2 linked regions of the Drosophila melanogaster genome follow. The protein of the gene in region 1 purifies or fractionates together with the protein of each later gene. This does not show direct contact. Each region holds a gene or a part of one and is shown on either strand. Other genes may lie near its edges. The genes, in order: Polr2F and CG8117.

Region 1 (3,388 bases):
CGGACAGCTGTCCCTATCCGGGTCCGCGGGGCCAGGGAGCAGGCGGGTGCCAGGTCAACTCGACGCAGCCGCCGGGCGATCCCGCCGCATGCAGCCTCTACCAGAGCCGGGGAGCCCCCACCGTGGAGTGCACGTGCACTCAGAACCGTAGCCGGCCACCTCCGCCATCCGTTCAGGCGGACCACATCACGTGCAGCCGGGGTCCGCGGGAGCAGCCGCCTGCCCTGGAGACCCGCTGCACCTGTCGCGAGAAGCCCGCCAAGACGGAGTGCCACTGCGCCCCGCCGGTGGCCCCGCCTCCCAACCAACAGCAGCAGCAGGCGATGGCCCAGCCCACCTACGCCAACGTGACCTGTGGCCAGAACGTGCCCAGAGGACCGCAACCCTATCGCCCGCACCACGGCAACCAGAGTCAGAACCCGAACTCCTGCGGCCACTGTCGATCGCAGAAGAAGCAGAAGAAGTGCGTCATTCAGTGATCTGGATGTCGTGCCACGGGAGAACGTTGGGATCCCAGCAGGCGCTACGCAGCAGGCTACACAGATTATAACGCTCACAACATGACATGACAGTACTCCCAAATTTCAGGTTAGCCAAATTTCCAGTTTCGACCTGTTTTCCGGGTCAATAAAGCCAATGTGACCGCTAATGGGTAAAGTAAAACAGGTGGTATGTGTGTGTTCCTTTAATACATCAGCGTCTCCTTCCGGACAGGGAACAGTCCGAGCGCCTACCAGGTGGGTCGGAGGCCAGCGCAGCTCAGCTCCGGGCAGGACATCTGCAACTGCCGCGGAAGCCAGCGGAATCCGGAGCGGAATCGCAGTCGCCACTGCTTCGTGATTCGCTCACAGCGGCCACCAAAGGGCGTGGCTGCGGAAACCCGGTGCTGCTGCACTCCTCAAGCGCCGATAAGCCGTAGTTTACCTCCGCCCACTAAGATCCGCCAGCGATGCTGCTGTGCCTTAGCTCCGGAGCCCGCAAGGCAAATGGTTTGCGACACCTCCGGGAACAAGCCGCAGAGATGCTGTACCAATTGCCCAGGAAACGGACATAGTGGAGCAGCTGCGCGGAGGACACGGGTGTATCATTCGGATCCATACCCCATCGGGTTAGGCGAGAATCGGAAAGTGGCTTTGGAGGAGCCAATTCTGCTGCAGCCGGACCCACATTCTGAGATTCCATGCAGCGACTCCTCGCGATCGTTTCAGCCCGCCGTTCACGCGATAAATGAAAACTGCCAGGAACCCCAGGATCCCTACTATCCGTATCCTCCCAGAAGCACGCGTCAGCGGGAAGTGGATCCTCTAGCCAACTTCGATCTGAATCGCTTCGACAGGGAAGCCATCCATCGAGGCCCCGCTGGCAGACGAAGAAACGTCTCCATTCGCACCTGCGTCGACTACGACTACGAGCCGGGATATCTAGCTCCAAGCAGTCCGCCCGGAAATCGACATCCACCAGCTCCATCCGGATATTCTCCGGCATACCCCCCTTCGTACGAACCTAATCCAGCCGGTTGTCCCGCGGCATCTTTGCCCAGAACTCGCCCACCAACCGCATCACTCCAGCGTCCATATTATCACAGAACTCATCCGGGATTACAAGGTTTGTATTTTCCAAGTTATCCAGGAGCAGGCGACTAATATTCCCTTTTTTTATTAAGAAAATACTGAATTCGATTACGTTAAATGTCCGTTTAGATGAAGGGCTAAAATATAACAAACCAATAGGTAAGTGTTTCATTTGATTATTATTTAACTATTTATAATTTAAATTTTATGGAATCAACTACTCTAATTGGATTAAATTATTTTAGGAAGACGTATAAATCAGATTTTAGTAGTTTAAACTTTAAAATATTCAAATAGTCTAACCTTTATACGAATTCCACCAATTTCAAATACTCGCGACACAGACGGCTATTCGATAAGTAATCACTTTTCCATTTGCCAGAAATGCAGCCCTGAAAGTTTGAGAAGCACTGGAAGTTCTGCGCACTGTGCTCCAGTGCTGAAAACCGCATGCAGCAGTGTGAAAGAAGAAGAAGACTGCGACGCGTGCAAAACACGCCGCACTTTACTATTTAATTTCGATTAAAACAATAGAAAAGCAGTGATGGATGATGCGGACTACGACAACGACGAGTAAGTGCAGGCGTAACACAATCAATAGCTGTGCCCATTAATCACCTACTTAACAATTGCAGCGTTGGCGGCGATGACTTCGACGACGTCGACGAGGACGTGGACGAGGACATTAACCAGGAGGAGGAGGCGGACAACATCGAGATCATAGCTCCCGGTGGTGCGGGCGGAGGCGGTGTGCCCAAGTCCAAGCGCATTACCACAAAGTACATGACGAAATACGAGCGCGCCAGAGTTCTGGGCACACGAGCGCTTCAGATCGCCATGTGCGCACCCATCATGGTGGAGCTGGACGGGGAAACGGACCCCCTGCAGATCGCCATGAAAGAGCTGAAACAAAAGAAAATTCCCATCATCATCCGCCGATACCTGCCGGATCACTCCTACGAGGACTGGAGCATCGACGAGCTCATCATGGTGGACAACTAGCTAGTACTCAACCCCTTTATCCATAATAAATCATACCGCCTAAGATTAAGCACAATCAATTTGGCTGCTGAATTCCCGGGGACTTAATGTAATGACGAACTGCAAGCGCTAATTGCTACACGATAGTTATCTTGTAAGCAATCCCTTTGCTTTAATATTATCTCTTAATACCGCTATAATCTGAAGTAGCCACAGATACTTGCTACCATGCGATTAGTACGAAAAACAATGACACCACGGGCTTGCTATTCTACTACAATATTTTATTTCACATAACAGACGTACAGATTAGGAAAACAAAGCTGCTCTAGTGTGAGGAGCACTTGGTGTCTAGCTCCAAGCATATCCCTCATCTCTTTGATAGCAAACGCGCTCTAAAAGACCTACGGCATGTTGGCCCGTGCGGCAGATGGAGCCAACTACTGCCGGCAGCAGACCACACTCCGAAAGATTCTGCTCGCCAAAGACCTGCCCGGCGGCATCTTCTCCTTCCGCATCTGACTGTGGCGTCTCCGGAGTTTCAAGCAGCTTTTGGGTGGCCTTGCTAAAGGCCAGCGTATTGATGCTGCTGGCCAGCGTGGAGCTAAACATCTGGCGCGTCTCGGACAGCAGCTCCGCCACACTGGGCAGGAATGTAGGTAGGATTAGGCCCTTAATGTCTATGCTAAAGTAGTCGACGCCATCCAGACGCACTTTCTTGGACCGCGGAACCAAGTGCTGCATGGTGGCCTTGGGGAAGGCCACTGGCGACAGCAGAGTGGGAGGCACTCCGGCCAGACGGCCCACTGTGCTGATGGCACTCTTGGCATTTAGCA
Region 2 (3,455 bases), on another chromosome or scaffold:
AATACAAATGAAATCCGAAAACAAATAAGCGATTTTGTTTGTGGGGAGAAATGATGATGATCGGCGCCAGACGGACATAAAAACGCCAAAAGAAACGGAAAGGAAGCCTGGGAAAGGCGCATTTCCACTTTGTTTATTCGGAGCTCTGAAGCTCTTTTTAATGGTTTCTTTTTTTTTTTTTTTTTGGCCAAATGGCCAATTAATGCGATTTACTTGATACGCTTTTGCATTTTGTTGTTGCTTTACGACGGCGGATATTAATTAATTGGCCCGTCTCTGGGGAGCAATTCCCATTGTGCCCATCAAGAGTCCACCTATCATCCCAGTTCGCAGTCCAAACCTGAATCCCAAACCCATAATCCCATTCAATGCCGTTAATGTGGGCCATAAAGCAAATGCTTTAACGTCTATAATTTGTCTGCACTTGGAAACGACCCACGCATACTAAACATAGTATACTATACTATATATACCATCTCATCCAATTCAATTCAATCCAATTCAATCCCATCCGATCCCACCCACTCCGAGATCATCGCGCCGAATGATTCATTAAAGTGTAAAGTGCTAACTAATAGTCGAAAAATTCATTAAATTAACGCTCGCGCTATGCTCGTTTTTTATACAAGCAAACTCGTATATTGTTGAATGTTTATGAAACAAAGATTTGCTTTCTTTCGGACTTTCGGTGCTAGTTTATCTGCTTTCGCAGGCGAACAAAGGAGCATCCATCGATGATGGACTCATTGATACCCTCTGGTATTTAAAACGAATGAATAAGATTTTTATGACATGTAATATATTTCCATAATATGTATGTTGTATGTTGTATGTTGTATGTATTCTTGTTAAAGTATTATTTACATATTGTGGAAGCCAACGGAAGATCAGTCTGTTTATTGATATGAGATATTGTGAATTGTGTGAGTTCGTTTGCTTGGTATCCAGCCAAGACGGGTGACTCCTTCAAGGGACTCTCTCCACGGTTGTCTAGCTCTTCCAGCGGTTGCCGCACTCGTCGCATATCACAAAGGTGATAATGGGCTCGTCACCATCACGGATATGCAATTGGCTGCAGTTGCGTTTGTCGCAGCGTTCGCATTTGAACTGATCCGTCTTGGTGCCCTGAACCTTGGCCATCTGTGCCGCATTGATCGAGTCCTGAACGTACTTCTGGCGCATCTGCTTCATATCATCGCTGGCCATCTCCTCGGGCGTCATCTTGGATAACTCTTCGGGCGTTATTTGACCTAATAGGAACTTCTGGCGCAGCTCTGGATTCTTCGGATCGCGCAAGTTGGCCAAACGCGAACGTATGCGATTTTTGTACTTCACCTTGCAGCCGTTCAAGTCGCCGTAAATTGCGTCCTCCAGTTTAGCGGCCATGTCATCCGGATCGCCACATCCTGGTGGCATGTTGCCCGATTTCAATGCGGTTGCCAACATCTCGCGGCACTTGATGCGTATTTCCATGGACATGGCTGCAAAATCGAAAGAAAGTTTAGTGAATTTATTCAACGAAACCGGAAAGCACAATTTTTAGATTGTGAGAAGTTGAGAGGTCACTGAGAGATGTCTAAGCTGACAGGAACGGCAAGGTAAATGAAGGTTTTTACTCGGCAACTTTACAACCCAACTTGATTAAGGTCTAAATATTTCGGATTTATTATGCAATATTTCTACTTAATCATTTCTTAACCGTTGTGATTAGCATGTAATTAGTATGAATTTGAATAGATAAATCTACATATGTATAAATGTTCGATTTGGGAATCCCCTGCGTAATGCATCACTATTCCATAACGCCCGCTGTGGCCCCCAAGAAATGTGCTAAAATTGGACACTGAAAGGAAAACCAAACACAAATGAAAATCAAAATCGAAATGGAAATGATATTTCCCATTTAGTCTATATGTTTGTGTTTGTCGTTCCGCTTTCTTTGTGCGCCGCTGGCTTTTGATTTCGCTAATCGTCTACAACAAACAGCGCGGAGATGATCTAATTATTGACGCACGAATCCCGCAGAAGCACCAAAAACAAAAGGAAAATGAGTAATAAAAAAAAAAAGGAAAATGGGAAATGGAAAATTGAAATATTGAAAAGCCAAACAACAGTGACGAAGGGGGGGGGGGGGGGGTAGCCACAAAAAGTAGGAAAAAAGCCCAAGCGAGCGAAATTGAAAACAAAATCGAAATCATTATCCAAGTCATTAGCTTTTTAGCGAATCGTTCTTTTTATTGTTGCCGGATATAAATCTGCTAATGTACTTAACCACACAAACATCTAAAACACCCACCACCCAGCCACACCCCCGCTTGCCAACGTCCCACTTGGCTTCGCTTTCGTCCCACTGTGCGTGCGCGTTTTTCTAGCGTTTTTAAACGCCTCCGCCGACCTTCAACTGTTAAACTTGACGACCTCAGCGTAACGTAAACAGCCGCCATCGATTCGAAGCTACCCAAATATAAAGATACAAATGTATCTATCTATCAATGGTCTGGGGAATTGGTTCACGGCCGATTACTGACCTTGGCGGCCTTTTGTCTTTCACCTTTCGGCCAACAACGTATTTGGCTTGGTAAACAAGCCCCAGAACAATGGGTAAAACCTTGAACCTTTGTGGCCAATCAATTTCTCCAGATTGGCGAAAATAAAAAGAAAGTGTGTGGCCAACATGAGGGGCAACCAAAGAAAATTTAAGAAAATATCTCAAATATGTTCCTGTTTCAAACTACTGTTCAAAATACATTAGCTTTTGGATAACATTCTTGCAAAATCTTAAATCAAATTGAAGAAAAATCTTAAAAAACACAAATATAAGTAAATAAAGTTTGGACAATGTGGTTTATGTATAATATATTACAAAACATTTGAATGATTACATGAAGATCGATGAGGATTTACTAATAACTCCTGCAGAATCATCAATTATGTGTGAATAAAACTTAAAATGTCCCACTTAAATAGTTAAATTCCAGTACGCAGCAATTTTCCACTAATTTACCTCGATCAATTTGCATTTTCCAAGTTTTCTAAAGTCCAATTGTTGGTTGGTTGGCTGGCTGCCTGGCTGGATGGTTGAATCGATGGCTGGATGAACGTTTCCCATCGCCGGAGTGCAGTTACATTCGCTGCCTATTTGTCTCCCGTCGAAGCCAGCCCACTGCCACGCCCACCCGCCCGCTACGCCCCCGGCGTGGCATTCTTTCACCTTGGCTACGTGATGCCATGGCGTGATCGTGTAACAATGCGAGTGATTAGTACGCGCCGGCGTTCAAAATGCGCAATCCGCCGATGGCAGCGAACTTGCCTTTTTTTTTTTTTACCTTTTTTAACTTTTTTTTCACCGTCATCGTTTTTTGTTGTGTTTGTTGTTGTTGTTGGACTGTAGATGCAGTTTTTGGATGCCGCTTGGCCACAAGCGATTCATAAACGGGCTATATGTGTTTTTTGGG

Evidence for each region.
Region 2: the proteins of Polr2F (region 1) and CG8117 purify together in Drosophila melanogaster (affinity purification with mass spectrometry, with the first as the bait; one large-scale study listed by BioGRID). This does not show direct contact.

Annotation. Positions count from the first base shown.
Region 1 is NT_033777.3:5,369,772-5,373,159, forward strand, and holds Polr2F (RNA polymerase II, I and III subunit F), read left to right. Parts: upstream 1-2,023; 5' UTR 2,024-2,115; coding exon 2,116-2,144; intron 2,145-2,206; coding exon 2,207-2,573; 3' UTR 2,574-2,626; downstream 2,627-3,388. Other genes in the region: CG31542 (uncharacterized protein), read left to right, coding at 1-479; CG34277 (uncharacterized protein), read left to right, coding at 649-652, 715-1,605, 1,664-1,704; hd (humpty dumpty), read right to left, coding at 2,904-3,388. UniProt on the Drosophila melanogaster protein: DNA-dependent RNA polymerases catalyze the transcription of DNA into RNA using the four ribonucleoside triphosphates as substrates.
Region 2 is NC_004354.4:15,642,315-15,645,769, reverse strand, and holds CG8117 (uncharacterized protein), read right to left. Parts: upstream 1,549-3,455; 5' UTR 1,480-1,548; coding exon 991-1,479; 3' UTR 779-990; downstream 1-778.